2 linked regions of the Alligator mississippiensis genome follow. The protein of the gene in region 2 purifies or fractionates together with the protein of the main gene of each other region. This does not show direct contact. Links are inferred from orthologs where the notes say so. Each region holds a gene or a part of one and is shown on either strand. Other genes may lie near its edges.

Region 1 (7,913 bases), on a different chromosome or scaffold from region 2:
CCTGGTCCTGCCAGTCAGGTCTCCCGGTGCCCCCCAGCCCGCCCAACAGCCCCCCGCAGCCCCAGCGCCACGTACCTTCTGTGGCTTCCCCACGAGGTTCTGGGCTCTGCAAGAGAAGAGACGGAGCCCAGGTGAGCAACAGCCGCAGGTGCGGGCTCCTGCAGCCTCAGCACCACGGTGCCCAGCGTGCAACGCTCTACCCTGTGCCCTGGACACAGGCAGCTTTGCGCTGCGAAGCCACCAGCTGGACCCAGCGAGGGCCAGACACAGGCTCCTGCTTGAGCCACATCTGGGTGGGATGCCCCAGGCCTGGGCAGTGCCCTGGGCATACAGCCGCGCTGGGTGGTGGGGGCCCAGCTGATGGGGCTGTGGCAAAGGGACCTCCGCAGCCTCCCATTGACCAGCCGGCTACTACCAGCAGCAGATGCACACACGCCTGCAACTTCCCATAGGCATGCTCCTGCCACCCCTGCACCAGGCCACAGCACCCTGGTCCCTACCGTACCCTGCTCATGCCCAGCCCAGCACCCCCCACCCGTGCCCTGCAGGGGAATGCCCGGGCTGGCACCTGCTGAGGCTGAGGCTGAGGCGGTCGCCACAGGCGCGGATCCTGTTCTGCGCCTCGATGTGGGTCAGAGCGCTAGCGTTCTCGCCATCGATGCTCAGCACCCAGTCGCCCACGCCCACGCCGGCCTGCGCCGCCTTCCCACTGGGTGTCAGCTGCCGTGGGCACAGAGGGAGAGAGTCAGGCGGGCAGTGAGCAATGCTGCCCCGTGCCCCGGGGAAGCCAAGTGCCCACACTGCTGCCCTGGCTGATGCTGGGGACACTGGGCTGGGCCCGTTGGGGCAGGTACCTACTCCCAGTCCTCCCCTCCCCCCCAACACATCCTGGGGGCTTTTTCCTGGCCTGTGGCCCGGGCCAGGCCCCACCTTGGCACAGAGACCAGGCGCCCCCCGCGGCTCTGCCGGCCGAGACAGGAGCAGCTCCGTCCCCGGGAGCCGGGCGTGAGTCAGAACTTCGCCGTCCCGGCGCAGCCCATGCATCAGGCCCGGGCCTGTTGGAGCCTGAACCACAGGCATTTCCGAGGCTTTTGTGTCTGGGCTGGGGGGAGACAGGCGCTCCCACCCTGGCCAGCCCTGGTCGCTCCCCCATCTCCTGTCCGCGGACAGACGTTACCTCATCCCAGCCGTGAGCAGCGATACCCGCTGGGGCTGCCCCCCCGCCCCCCCGCGGGAAAGTCCAGCCCAGCCGGCACCACCACAGCAGCCTCGGCCCCGGGGCGGAGGGGCAGGGGCCAAGGCCAGGATGGGGCAGCTTCGAGGCAGACGTGTGGTGCTGCCACCCCGGCCCCGGGGACCTGAGAGAAGCATCTTCTGCGGGGGCCGCAGGCTGGGGTGGGAGCCCAGCAGGGCTCAGCCGGGTGCACGGTGGGGGGGAAGGGTGTGTGGGTCCAGGCCACCCCCTACCCCCTGCATTGCCTGCAGTGCGGCCGGGCCTGCTCTCACTCCAGCTGCCTGGGCCGGGCTGGGGGAGCTCCAGGCTCCTGGACTGGAGCCAAATGCTTCTCTGGCTCAACATGGACATAAAAGGAGCGAGCCAGATCCCGGCGGCGGCCCCCAGGCCCCTCCCCCCGGGCCAAGGCCCCCGCGATGCCGGCACCGCCCCCTGCGCGCCCCAGCCCCGGAGCCTGCGGGGATGCTGGTGCTCACAGACCCTCGCTCCCAGCCGGGCTGGGCCCGGGGGCCATGGCAGAGCCCAGCCCGGGAAAGCTCTCGGCTCCAAGCGCCGGAGAAGCCTGCGCCGGGCCTCCGGGTGGCCAGGACCCCCCGACCAGGCAGAGGAGCTGCCCCTCGCGCACTCAGCCCAGCCCTGCAGCCGCATCCTGCTCCCGGCCAGGCCCCTGCCCAGCTCTTCCTGGCTGGCTGGAGACAGGCCTAGGCAGCGCCCAGGGGGAAGCAGGGCCGTGTCCCCGCAGGACCCCAGCCCTGCTGACGACTAGGGCGTATTTTTATCCTCTCCTGCCTGAGCTCAGCACTTCTCCCTGGCCCCCAGCGCCACCTCTGACAGCTGGGATGGGGCTGCAGGCCTGCCCCACCTGCCCCCGTCGCTCACACCGCGGCCAGCCCTGCACGCACCAGAGCACCTGCCCTGCCCCTGCCCCATGGCAAGGAGCACGAGTGCCTGGAGCACACGTCCCCGCTGGCTGTCGGGGGGTCCTGGGGCACTGCCTGGGCCCCGCTGGCTGGGAGGCGCTGTACTAACGAGCTGAGGAAGGAAGCCTCGGCTACGCCTGTGACCGTGCCCACCCGGCACAGCCGCCTTCCTGGGCAGGGCCAGCTCCGGGCAGGGCAGCGCTGTGGCTGCTGGAGGGAGCTTGGAGCCAGGGGCCTGGCTGGGAGCGACGCGCCCCAGAGGAAGCTCAGACCGGCACAGGGCGCGGTGCTGCGGAGGGGACCCGGGGGCTGTGTCTCTGTGGGCACGAGACGTGCCAGCCCACCCCACCTCCTGGGCAGCCTCTTGCCCCCCCACGCCTGCGCCCCGACCCCAGCACGCAGCCAACAGCCTCCCCCCGTGGGCAGCTGGGAGCCAGGCTGCGCGAGGCCCGGGGAAGGGCCGGGGCCCTCGGCTAGCTGCCTCCCGCAACGAGCCCCAGCCTGCGCGGGGCCGGGGCCGGGGCCGGGGCCGGGGCCGCCCTCCTGCCAGCTGGCCGCGGCGGCCGGCGCATTCCGAGGCTTATAAGGCAATGGCTCGGCGGGCCCGGCCGGCCGCGCTTACCCGCGAGATGGAGAGCGGCATGTTGAAGTCCTTGCCCCCCTGCAGGCGGAAGCCCCAGGGCGCCGGCCCCTCCAGCACCACCTTGTAGGCGTCCATGTCGCTCATGCCTGGGGAGGGAGACGGTGAGCGGCGGGGCGCGGCGAGCCGAGGCGGGGCCGGGAGGCGCGGGCGGGCGATGAGAGGCGTGTAAGACGACACCGCGCCCGGCACTGCCGGCACTGGGCGACCGCGGCGTGCCCCGGCCCCGCTCCTCCGAGCGGGGCGCGGCGGGACCGGGGGCTCCGGCCGGGCAGGCTCCCGCCCCGCCCCGCCCCGGAGCCGCAGCCCCCGCGCACCCCCGCCCGCCCGCGGACGCTGACCTGCGGGGCCCGGCCGGGCGGAGCCGGCACTGCGCGACGAGCCGAGCCCGACACCGCTGCGCTCTGCGGGCCGCGCTCCCTGCGCCGGGCCCTATGTACCCTCGGGGGCGGGGCCGGCCCTAGGCCCCGCCCCGCCCCTACTGCGCTTGCGCGGCTGCGGGCCCCGGGCCCCCGCGTGCGCCCCCGGACCCTCCTTCCCCGCCGGGCCGCCGCCCGGCTCCAGCGTTACCGGCCCGCCCCGCCCCGCCGCGCTCAAGGAGACGCTGCCCGTCGCTCCGGCGCCGCCTTTATTTCCTGGTCGCGGCGCCCGAAGCCGGAACCGGCGCCGCACGGAGCCGCCCCGAGCCCGCGGGGTGTCGCTGTCCGGGAGAGGCGCGCCCGGCCCGGCCCGTCCTGCCGGGAAGCGCCGCCGCCCCCCGCTCGGTCCCCGCCGCCGGAGCCCTCGGGACGGCCGCTGCCCCCGCCCTTCTCCCCGCCGGGCGGCTCAGGCGCGGTCCGCGGGGCTGGGGGTCCGGCCGGGCACCGGCGGCGCCGCCTCCCTGCTCAGCAGCGTGACCAGCCTCCGGCGGAGGCCGTTGCTGGCCGTGGCCTCGCCGTGGGCCGCGCTGTCGGGCCCCTCCGGGTCCTGCAGCCGCTGGTAGCGGGGCTGGAGCACGGGGCTGGGGGCGCCGCTCCGGGCCGCGGCCACCATGCAGCTGTTGTCGTAGATGGGCGCCTCGGGGCCGCTGCTGCCCTCGGGTGGCTCCCGGCAGCTCCGGTGCCAGCTCGCGGCCGCCTGGTCCAGGCCCCGCCCCGGGCAGTCTGTCTCCGGGCCGCACAGGTTCTCGTACAGGTGCTCGGAGGGCTGCTGGCCCCAGGCCTCCGGCTCCGGCTCCCGCCGGACGGCAGCAGGCAGGGGCTGCGGGCCCCGGGCAATGGAGGCGTAGATGACGGGGAAGGTGTGGTCCACCCTGTCTGGAGCCCCTGGCTCCCGTGAGCAGGGCTGGGGCGGAGGGTGCTCGGGCCGGAGCCAGGCGGGTGGCGCGGCCCCTCCGTCCTCGAGGGCCCAGGACGCTGATGGTGCCCCCTCGGGGCTGCTGGCGGGGTGCTGCCAGGGCTCCTGGTTCCTCTGGCGGGCGATGGCAGCGGATATGAGACCACAGATCTCGGCAGCGCGGCCCGTGCTGAAGGTGAAGACGCCCTCACCAGAGTCGCAGCGGCGGCCGGCCTCGAAGGACAGCATGGCCTGTGGGCGGATGGGGGTAAGGGGCAGGGAAGGCCAGGGCCCCAGGACCTCCCCCCCCCCGACACTGCAGGGAAGAAGTGGGGCACGGGGTGCCAGGCTTGTGGGGCCACACAGGTACCTGGTCCTGGCCGAACTTGCGCAGGAAGGGATAGGGCCAGGCAAGCAGCGGCTGCCGCGTCTGCAGCTCCTTCAACACCAGGCGCTCGGGCAGCACGGCCAGCAGGTAGCGCCCGCTCAGGCCGCAGCGGGTGGAGGCCTCGGTCCGGAGCAGCAGTACTGGGAACTCGTTCGCTGGCGGAGGAACGGAGCCCACGTTGACGCTGCAGCCCTGGCTCCTGTGAGGGCATGACAGCCCACCCCCCACCGGCTGTAAGGCGTGTCCACCCATGCGCCAGGGCAGGCACCAGCCCCCCGCACCTACGTGCGTGCCAGGACGAGTAGATCGTGTTCTCCTCCATGTGGAGGCCAGAGCTGGGCGAGGCCCTGTTGCTGCCTGGAGCCATCTCCTTTGTGCCCTGAAAAGCAGAGAGGTGAGCCGCGTCCACCGCCTGGGGAGCAGAGCTGCAGGGAGCTGGAGGGGGGAACACATGGAGCTTGGGCAAGTCCACAGACTTGACCACGGGACCTCCAGGGGCTGGGGAGGGGGCAGATTGGCTGTAGCACCACCTGAGCCTCCCACGACTCCGTGGTGCTGGATGCAGCCGCCCGCCTGTGCCACCCCCTGGCCAGGGTCCACCATACCTGGAAGGCCAGTTGGCAGAGCTGCGCCACCCACTCGTCAGGCTGCTCGGCCGCCAGCACGTGGCTCTTGTCCAGGGTGCGGAGGCAGAAGGCGGCCGTGCCACGGGGGCAGCCCTCACTGCCGGCAGGCCCCACGGACACACAGTCGGCCAGCCGGAGCACCCGGCGTTCGCCCCGGCGTAGCGATGTCTTCTCGGGCCCCGAACCGTCCCGCACCGCAAACTGCTCCATGCGGGCCACGCCTGACGGGCCAGCCGCGAACAGCTGTGCCCGCACCTTCTTCCAGGACCTCTGGGGGTGGGTAGATGAGCAGGGCTCAGCACCCTTGGGCCAGGGATGGAGCTGGTAGGATGCTGCTTGGAGCCACCGGCAGGCAGGGAAAGGAGACCCTCGTGCAGGCACCCTGCCTCTGCAGCACCTGCTCAAGCTGGAGCCTGCGCCTGCCCTGCGGGCTGCGGGCTCAGCCCGCCGGCATCTCACGCCCTTCCTCTGGGCCCAGCAGCTCCGAGAACACAGCCCAGGCATCCGGGCTGGGAGGCTGCGGCCAGCCTCGTGCTGCCCCTGGGGGCCCGGCAGGTGGGGTGGACCAGCTGTTCCAGCCTAGGCCCTATGCAAATCAGGCCATTTAGGGCTGTTTGCGCCCACGACCAACAGCAGCCCTGCACCTGACACATGGGCCAGGTCCTGCCAGCACCACCCACCCCTTCCTCCCGGGGGAAGCTCTGCAGCAGCCAGCGGGTCACGAGGTGAGGGCACGGGGCAGCTGCAGCCTCCTCTTGCAATCCCCACGTGCTGGCTGAGGAGAAGGGGCAGACAGGCCCAGAAGCACCGCCAGCCATGGCTGCACTGCCCACCCCATGTGGGGGCTGCACCTGCCTGCTCCGCTCCACCTGTGCTGGGATATGGGGGCTGCCCCAATGGGCACCGTGCTCCCAGCCTGGCACTGGTCCAGCTGGGCTGCGACCCAGCCTAGGCCGGACCCGTTTCCAACCTGAGGCACAGGGTTGCAGCTTGCAGGAAGCATCTCCCGTGCCCTGCAAGGGCACCCGGGCTGGGCAGGTTGCTGGGGGACCTGGCACCTCCAGGACAGGAGGCAATTGAGGCTCTGCCTTGAAAGCCCGCCTGCAGTTGCTGCCTATGGTCAGACCCTGACCACGGCTGTAGGGACCGTGGTGCTTGTGGGGTAGTTGGCTGCAAACCCAAGCCACATGAGGGCACTGGGCCCCAGTCACCATCCCCATTCCACTTGGGCTGCTGGCAAGCACTGGTCCCTACCCACCCTGGGACAACGGCAGAGCAGCAGGGCTCAGCCCCAGGGAAGACGAGGGGCTTCCACACCTGCCCCCCTCACTCACATGCACCACGTTGTACTCTGTAACAGCTTTTATTGCCCTTTGCGCCTGCCGCAGGCAGCACCCACAGCAGAGTCAGGAGCACCAGGACTGCTGGTTGTGGCTGCCTCCCCGGCACCCAGGCGTGGGGCCGAGACCACACGCCCCTCCCCCTGGCCAGCAAGGCCTGGAGCCCAGCCCTGCCCGTTACCTTTCCAAATTTGAAGTGCTGGACATAAAGGATCCCATCCTTCACGGGCCCCTCCATGGCTTGAGCTGCCTGGGTTGTGGAGCCGTTGGCCACGGGAGCTGGGGCTGCTGCCGCAGGAGTGCAGGGGTAGACTTCCCCTCTGCATCCACTTCCCCTTTCTGGCGTGTGAGCCGTGGAGCTGGCCCTGCCTCCGCCAGAGCAGAGCAGTGGGGCAGAACGGGCAGGCGGGGCTGCGAGTCTGCCCTAGGCAGGCTCTCACAGCCCCTGCTTGAGGCAAGGGGGGTGGTGCTGAGGACTAGGACTGCCCCTTCCTGCCCAGCCCAGCAGCCCCAGGAAGATGCTGAGCATCCCCTAGACTGGGGAACAGTCCTGGCAGGGCCAAGGGCATCCTGGCAGAATCTCTGTGCCAGGCCGAGCCGAGGCGGCCTGGGCTAGCAGACTGTCCCTACTGCCCTCCAGCTCCCCCCACCCAAATCCCCCTGGGCCGGTGCTGTGCATCTGGCCCAGAGGCTCCCACTTGCTCAATCCCAGCATGTCAACAGTAGGGCTGATGTAAGAGGCTGTTGCTGCATGGCACAGCACTTCCTCCCAGCACCAGAACTGCAGCCCGGCTCTGGAGCAGCAGGGAATGGGCAGCATGCCCCAGGGGCCTGGAGCAGGCCGTGGCGTGGCTGCCCGAGACACAGGGACCAGCCGCCTGGCGCTAACATGGCCTTCCTGGTGCGACTGGCACTTGCCCAGGGAGCAGCCACCTTCCCCTTCCCCCACCCCTTCACAGCATCTGGGCAGGGGCTGGTGCCCGGCGGGCAGCCCTAGAAGTCCATGGAGCTGTGGGCCAGGTAGTCTTTGCGGCCGATGTTGCTGACTTGCTTGGTCTGCATGGCTTCCAGCTTGGGGCAGTCTGTGATGCGATGGCCCAGCCCCCCGCAGAAGGCACAGCCCCTCTCCCCTATGACAGGAAGAAGGATGAGTGAGCTCGGGCAGGGGCAGGGCACTGCCTGGGATGGGGGAGCTCCCGCAGCTCTTGGGAGAGTAACAGCCCCAGAAGTGCAGCCACTGCCAGAGTGCACGGCTCAAGCAACCTGCAGCTGCTCTCGCCCTCCCCTGCCTCAGTGCCCCCTTCCCTGGACAGGACGCAGCCCTTCCTAGGGCCAGAACGGCAGCAGAAGTGCCACCTTCCCGCAGCCTCTCACCTCCGATGTCCAGCATGGTCTCATCCCCGCAGTGCAGCACCTGGAGCACAGGTGGTACCTTCTGCTTGGCCTCCAGC
Region 2 (8,133 bases):
GCAGGGGCTGCCGGGAAATGGAGTCCACCATGGGCCCAATCTAGCCCATGGGCCAGACTTTGTCCGCCCCAGCTAATAGGTAATAATGAAAGTAGAGGACCACCTGGTACAAAGGCAGTCTGTTATAACTTTCTGGTTAAAATGACAATATAACTCCCAATTCTATTGATGGAAAAGGGTCCGGGGTTGGGGTTCAAGTTTTAATATAGCCCAATTCTTCTCACTTACACTACTATAAATCTGTAGTGATCTACTGAAGTCAGTAGTTACACTATGTAAACTAGTTAGAAATTGACTTAGCCTTTTATGTTCCATTTAAAAATTTTAAAAAAATAGTCACTGCATAGGTCACTCAAAAAGGACTGAAAAGGATATGGATAATTTTTAATTTGTGTTTTATCATTACTAGGGCAATCCATGGAATCAATGTTTTTATTAACTGCTTTTAAGAACTTATCAAAATGATAAAGCATCACTGAAATATTAACATGTTGTCCTTTTAGGATTAATTGTATTATAGCAGGGCAAACAGCAAGCATCTCAGTTCTACAGTCTTCAGTTAATCCTAGATATCAAGAAACCACTAGAAGACACTCTGAAAAGTGTTCTCTTCCTGCCTGTACAACTGATCTGGTTCCTTTCATTCACTATGATAAGGCTCATAATTAAAATGTGGCTCCAGAAAGTCTGTGCGTAGAGTTGAGTGTGAAAGTAAAGATTAATCATTATTTTTTTGGATGATACTTTTACTCACGCACACACTTCAGAAAACAAAAAAATATTTTCTTGAGGTCAAATTCTGAGACCTTTTCAAAGCAAAGTAGTACCTTACTGTGGAATACTCCTAAACTAAATGGAAGCAAAGATTTAGAAATGGACCCAAATCAAGGCCTGTATCAGAACATTATATAAGCAAAAGATGTATTAATATCAGTTGAAGTTGTCGTTTTGCCCATAAGAGAACAGCATTCAAGATCAACAGCTTCCCCTTTTCTTGTTTGAAAGCACTATCCTGTGTCAGGATGAACAACCCATAGCATACAAATTACAGTTTGTGAAATATAGATAATTATTTTCCAAATTGGAAAACCTGGTCATTTCATAACTGCTCCTCAGAGGCAGGTGCAATTACCCGTTTGTATCTTTCTCAGTGAAGATACAGTTTTTCCTTTTCCTAAACTACTATTTGTAACAGCATCCTTGAAACATTGCAGGAAAGGTGTCATTTTTCATTATCCCAGGTGCCAAGATAAAATAGGGCTGAGAACGTATTAGGTTTCAATCACAGATGAAGAACACTGATCCACTACCTTGGTTCAAGACTGTCCTGTTTCTGCATGATCAAAAACAGCTGAAATACAGACTTTTTCCTTTTAGTTTCCCAAGGGATAACATGTTTAGGACATAAGTCATTAAATAAGGCACTCTAACTGTAAAACAATTGAAAACTGCGCAAAACTTAAAATATTTATTACATGCCTCGCAGCAGTGCCAGTGTGGGGTCACATTGTACAGTAGGAGGGCATTCTGAATGAAGGTAAGTTAAAACTATTTCTATTTTTTTTAATTTAATATTAACAGTATTATTGAACTATATTTTTCTATGATATCTTTACACTGGTGTAAAAAAACAATTGTTTTGACGTTAAACAATACTTATCAATATGTCTTTGAAAAAGAAAACTTTCAAAAATAAAGATAGCAATGAATTTTTTTGGGGGGTAGAACTGCCGCATTCAATAAAATTTTAGATTACAAAAAAAAAAAGCAGCGAAAACAAAACACACACAACCCCTCCCCTCCCGCTGGCTCTGAACCATGTCATTTCATTTATACCAGTGGGGTTAGAAGTCACTTAACACTGAAAAAAGGACTATAATTTCCTCTGACTTCTGTCTAGCACCATATTCCTTTTCTGTTGGGTTCTTGGATCTACATTTTCAAAACGGTAGGAAAAAGCTAGCTTTACTCCATTATTTAAAATGCCGTGTTCATCTGTTGTATTTATTACTTCAAACTACATTATGAAAGACTACAAATACAAAAAAAAAAAAAAAAAAGTTACTAAAGAAATTCGCTTTCTACAGGCTAGTTTATCAGATTACATTCCAGGCCTCTTCCAAATATAATTTAAAAAAAACCTAAGATGCTTTAAATGGGTTCTGTTTATGTGTCAACCCAGGCAACAATCCTTTTTCAGTAAAGAGGCCCTAAGTCTTACCATGGCCCTGATAAAACAGCCAAGCAGCAGTGACCGCCAGAATAGTTTGCACATGTCATGATGATCCAAATGTTTCACTACCCGGCAGCAGCCTGCTCGCTTCCAGGCCTCGTCCTGCTAGTGCCGCACCATTTTGAGACAACAGCTGGAAGTTCCAACTAGTTTCCAAAGCGTCAGGAACCTTCCCTGGCAGCTGAAGCAATCAGGCCTTCAGGCTGCCGGCCAAATGTGCGGCTCCAAAGCGTCCACCCAAACTTCTTTCAGCACAGGCCTAAGCAGCTCTGGGAGCTTCCTTTCCTCCGATGTCCTACCCCGTCCCAGAGACGGTACTAATGTCATTACCGACATTAATGCCAGGACAGTCCTATTTTACCATCATTACTTAAGAGGATGTTCAGAAGTAAAAGGCAAGGGGCAAAGGTCGGGGCCGCACCGGATGATCTTATGAGGTCCCTTCTAGCCCTAATGTCTGCAAAAGTCTAAAGTTTACGGGATCAGCACCCAAAACGAAGCCGGGTGAACACAGGGAGAGAGACGCGCCCGCTGTTTTGTCACCGGTCTCTGAACACCTCCTTCCAGCTCCTTCTCTCCTGGCAGCTGCATAAACCCCGCAACCCCCCACTGGCACGGCAGAGCCTTCTCCCATCAGAGGGACTTGCCTTGCAGCAACAACAAATAAAAGACCCGTTGGCAAGGAAGGACACCTAGAAACCCCCCCAGGCGCGTTTCTTTCCCCCTCTGGAGGCTCCTCGTCTCATGGACATATTAGGAGCGGCGAGCGCAGGGGCGAGCGCCCAGCCGCGCAGCCAGCCAGGCGGAGGGGAAGGACAAGGGGAAACAAACCCACCCACCCCGTGCCAAGTCTCCGCTTCTCTCGCTGCACGGGCGGCTAAACCCGCTCGGGACTCGGGACTCGGCACGGGCAAGCGGGCGCCGGCGGGCACCGCAGTGCGGAGGGCAGAGCCGGGTACCTGGGGCCCGTGCAGGCGCGGGTCGGTCCAGGTGGTGGTGCGGCTGTTGTGGTCCACGAAGAAGGGCCAGCCCGTCTGCGGGTCCACCTTGATCTCCCAGCCCGGCGGCAGCGGCTCGGCGCTGCCCTCCATGCGCGGCGCGGGAGGCTGCGGGGCGGCAGCGGCGGCGGAGCTCATGCGGGCGGTGCGAGCCGTGCACCGCGGCCGGGAGCCTTTATGTGGCCGGGCGGGGAGGGAGGGGGTGGAAGGGTCTGGAAATAGCAGCTCGGCGCAAAGGGGCCGGCGGAGGAGGGGAAGGGGAGGAGAAGGAGGAGGAGAGACGGCCCGGCTGGAAACTTCTGGCGGCGTCCAGCCCGGCCACCCCCCGCCCCGCAGCGGTGCCGCGCGGCCGCGCTCAAACTTCAATGCATTCCCCCACCCCAATTGTTTTTGGAGGCTGCGCTTTAGGGACAAGCCGGCGGCTGATGGCTCCCCCCGCCAGGTCTCTGCCAGGCAGGGTTGTGTAACTTGTCTTGCTGGGTAGATCGGCATGCATCTGAAAGCCGTGCAGTAGGATGGTTGGCGATGTGCAGCGGGTGCAGGCGAGTGCATGTGCACCCCCTGAGCGAAAAGGTGCCCGGTGCCCCTGTGCCAACGCTGCCAGCGATTGTTACTGGCCTGCGGGTGGTCGCTGTGCCACCCCCCACGCTTGCCACCGCCACCAAAACTTCCCAGGGAGGTGGTCCTCGCCCCTACCTTGGGCAAATTCAAGAGGAGGTTGGATGATCGCCTGTCTGGGGTGTTGTGAGCCCAGCGTTCATTCCTGCCCGTGGAGGGGTCAGGCTAGATGATCTGTTCAGGCCCCTCCTGACCCTAGTTATGAAACCATGAAAAGCACCGCCGCCACCTGCGGGAGCTTGCCGGGCCCCCCAGCCTCCGGGGGCACGTGGCGTTCATGAGTACAATTAACGACGTTGGCCAAAAAAATCTCCCAGAATAGCTTCAGTCAGTTGGGTAGGGGGGTTTGTGAGCGCAGGCCTGGGAGGCCTGTGATGCGCTAGGTGCCTGGTCTGAGCTTGGTGTGCCTGCAAAATCCAGCTCTGCGAAACTGGAGTCTTGACATGCCGCCGGCCTAAAGGAGAGAAGAGACCTGGAGAGGACAGGCCGGCTGCTAAGTGGCTTCCTACTTGTCAGCCTTCCTGGGCCCTGGCACCTGTTGCTTGAGACAGAAAAGATCAGGCATCATTCGACACTGAGCCCTGTCCCCAGTACTAGTCACAAAAAAGGCAAAGACTCATCATGCTGGTACACTTAGATCAGGGTCTTCAAAGTTGTGTTATAGTGTTATGATGCATATGAGTCTGGAGAAGCACATTTTTTAACTCAGTCCCGCATCCTACATGGGTGACTGGCATCCCCACATTGGTATCATTGCAGTTGGCATCAGAATCTTTTCCATCCAAGATTTCTTTGCAGATTGTCCTGCCCATGCTCTTATTGATCCTGACTTGATCTGCTAAAATTGCATTTACATCTGACAACCTTATCATATCAGGGTGTTTGTTGAATAATTGGCTAGATCTGTCTTCTCTGCTGTATCTAATACCATCAGTACCAAAACCTAAAGGACTGAAGATGAAAATAACATAAGTGGCAGAACCTGCCTCTAAGGCTTTAATTCCTGTTTTCACTCCATAAGGCTATGTTATATCATTAGAGGAATATTATTCTTTTTTTTCCTCTACTCCTTCTAATAGTAAGTACAAAGCACACTTACCTATAAATACAAAGCACAAGGGATCCTGGTACATAACTGGGGCTCCCAACTGATGTGGAAATACAAATACATAATAACCATGGTAACTGGAAGTCGTTAGCCCTAATTGGATCCACCGATTTACAGGAGGGTTTCTGTAAGCCTTCCTCCCAAGTTACAGTCTCATGTTCCAGGGGCTTGTTATGGTCCATGGCTCTGTGGATACAGACGCACCTGTTTGAAGACTATGATCTAGTTGATTTAGGATTGACAAGCCAGTCAAATATTGTCAACTGACTGCATATTTTTTGACCAGTCAAACATTAAAGCAATTTTACAAAAAACACTTTTTTTGGTTTTCTTGACAGAAATACAATTTTTTGAGACATTTCTTAATGAATTTTTTCCTGTGTATTATTTGGACCTATTGGCAATTGTTTTACAATTTTTGACCAATATGTGACCAGTAAATTGAGTGCACTTTATTTGACCAGCCAAATATCCAGCCCTAGTTTGACTGGGTTTGTGGCTCCAGGTTTGTGGCTAGGGTTTCTATTAGGAAGAAGGGTGGATGATGTTCAGCTTGAGATCTCATATCTCAATAAGTATATCCAATGCTTAACATTTTAGGCAGTCACTCTATGATCCCTTCCTTAGATCCCACAGATTGGTTCACAACTTTTAGCTTGTAAAATGTGTAATTTTTCCATGTCAGTTCATCCTGTCCACCTGTGCTCCATTTAAGTGTGTAACCTCAGGATGGAAAAAAAAACCCCACACAGTAACTGAGAGCATATATTTATCCAAGCTCAACCAATACTCACTAGGTACAATAACAGCAGGGGCTAATCTTTTCACACCTCTTTATGACTTGGTACCTTGTTTCTCAGAGCGCCTTATTCCTCTAATGCAACAAACACAGGTTTTTTGGTCATACCTTTTATTAACTTGGTTCAATAAAAGATATAATCATAAATAATTTTGCTTTGCCCATATTTCTCCTATCACAGCTACAACAGTCCAGCCCTACTTATGCTTTTAGTAGCAGTCTTGAAATTGCTGGAGCCTTGTCAGTTCAGGACTGGCTGCCTTAGAAGCCTTCACATTTGATGGGTCCTCGTTATATATGCAGTGAAAGGCAGTATGGTTACCTTATTGCACATGTCAAACTCATCTGGCCCTGTGGGCTGGATGAGGTGTGCAGGGCTACTCCACAAGCCAGGTCAGGCTTACAGAGCAGCCCCATGCATCAGATCCGGCACTCGGGGCCAATCCAGAGTGACCAAGTCACTTGTACCATAAGTGACACATTCTCTGACTGACTGTGGACCTCATGCAGTGCACAGGGCTGGGGCTAGCACCTGCAGGGGCAGGGCAGCCCACCTCAAGCCGGTCTAACACCCACAGGCAGTACCGCAGGCTGGAAGGTAGAACGCTGCGGGCCACGTCTTTGACACTGCTGCCTTACCGACTAGACCGGTGGTCTCCAAGCTTTTTGCGGTGAAGATCACTTTTTGGAACTAAAGGGCACCCCAGGATCTACCACACGCCCACCCTGCCCCATGCATCGCTGGACCACAGAGTGTCCCAGACCCTGCTGGGTCAGGGTCCGATCCCACTTCTGTGCTGCGTCTGCACTGAGCTGCACCCGTCTGGCAGCCAGAGGAATGTGGCATCGAGACCTGGCCCGGCTGGGTCTGGAAGTCTCCGTGGTCCAGGAGCATGTGGGGAGGGGCTCCTGCTGCTGGGCACAGCCTGTCAGAGGCCCCAAGGGCCCATGCCTCCCCCACCTGTGCTTGGGATGAGGCGGCTGCTGCTGTGGGCTGCCCGCTGCACCCCGAGCACAGGTGGGGGAGAGGCATGGGCCCCCAGGGCCTCCGCTAAGCTGTGCCCAGCGATGGGAGCCCCCCCCACACACCCCCTCCGAATGACCAGATCTTCCCAGACCCAGCTGGACTAGGGCCACCCCCATGTGAGTCCCCGCTGCTGAGCTGAGCTGAGCTGCACTCACATGTGGCCACCTTGCAGCAGGGCTCAAGGCACAGTGATGGCAGCCTCTGCCACCTCCGCCCCTGAAGAAATGGGTGGGAGTCCCTCCCCCCCCCCGTGCCCTTAGAGGACCCCCCACAGGCTCCAATCCTCCCACCACCCAGCCGGGCTGGGGCCCCACTTATCTTCCCCTGCTCCTGGCTGGGCCGCACGGTCAGCTGCTTACCATGGGGGCTCAATCTGGCTCCTGCCCCTTCCCTACCCCACATATTGCCCTGCTGAAGCTGGGGGCAGTGGGTGTGCACGTGCGCACATGCCCAGCTGCCCCCCAGCCAAGGATTTATCAAAAGAGGTTTTGAGATGTACCTGTAAATCAGGATCCCCAGGTTGGTGACCACTGAACTAGACAGTGTGTCTGTTCTTGTGCACTTAAGAGTAATCAGCTTATGCACTTAACAGATATGCAGATAACTAATGCTTGTTATAATGTAAGCAGAAGGCAAAATGTTGGGACTGATGTCCTGTTTTGTAGTTGAGCATATAGTTCATGATCAAGGGACATTATTATCAGTTTACAATCCTTGCACCACTGGCCTGTTGTATTTACAGGATTTAGTTGTTTGTTTCTTGTTACCTAATTCCCTTTGAATTTTCCTAAATTCTAGCATAATGTATGACTGTAGTAGCCACTTACCTAAGGAGGCAAGGATTCCTTGTGTTTTCCTGTCTAGACCAATAGCTGATTTTAGTCAGTCAGTTCAACAGGACTTCTGCATTTCTATAGTTGTTCTCCAAACTAGATCTCTAATGAGACCTTACCCGGTCTGTAGAATTCATAGAGGTGTTCCGACGTCCTGCAGCACTCCTTCCTCTGAAGAACTGCTTGACCATGAATCACACCATGTCTCACATTGGTGTCACCCAGGAACTATGGTGAAAATTTGCTTTGGCCTGCTGGGCCATATGATAGCCTGTATTCATGTAATTCTATGTGTGCAGCTACATATAGTCACTTCAGGGTTGGCTGATGACAATTTATCAGCCAAACAGAAACAACCTCTGCAAGTTCCTCACCAAGTGGTATCATCTTGCCTTTGCTGGATGGATCCTCTAAATGTTTGCCAAGGTGTTCTGTTTCATCCAATGTCCACCCAAAGACTCTGATGCCCGAGTGTCTGAGGCAGACTGACATGCTTGCTTGGAGACACAAAGTTTCA

The links. The genes of interacting proteins can lie anywhere in the genome.
Region 1: the proteins of BAG3 (region 2) and PDLIM7 purify together in Homo sapiens (affinity purification with mass spectrometry; 3 studies listed by BioGRID and IntAct, counting the BioPlex papers as one, with this or other methods). This does not show direct contact. The link is inferred for Alligator mississippiensis from reciprocal best matches to the Homo sapiens genes BAG3 and PDLIM7.

The regions. Positions count from the first base shown.
Region 1 is NC_081832.1:79,407,310-79,415,222, reverse strand, and holds the start of PDLIM7 (PDZ and LIM domain protein 7), read right to left. Parts: upstream 3,239-7,913; 5' UTR 3,136-3,238; intron 2,884-3,135; 5' UTR 2,882-2,883; coding exon 2,777-2,881; intron 721-2,776; coding exon 569-720; intron 107-568; coding exon 76-106; intron 1-75. Other genes in the region: DOK3 (docking protein 3), read right to left, coding at 3,620-4,360, 4,479-4,651, 4,782-4,875, 5,102-5,626; probable ATP-dependent RNA helicase DDX41, read right to left, coding at 7,456-7,592, 7,837-7,913. UniProt on the Homo sapiens protein: May function as a scaffold on which the coordinated assembly of proteins can occur. May play a role as an adapter that, via its PDZ domain, localizes LIM-binding proteins to actin filaments of both skeletal muscle and nonmuscle tissues.
Region 2 is NC_081829.1:87,292,087-87,300,219, forward strand, and holds the start of BAG3 (BAG family molecular chaperone regulator 3), read right to left. Parts: upstream 3,441-8,133; 5' UTR 3,370-3,440; coding exon 3,193-3,369; intron 1-3,192. UniProt on the Homo sapiens protein: Co-chaperone and adapter protein that connects different classes of molecular chaperones including heat shock proteins 70 (HSP70s), e.g. HSPA1A/HSP70 or HSPA8/HSC70, and small heat shock proteins (sHSPs), e.g. HSPB8.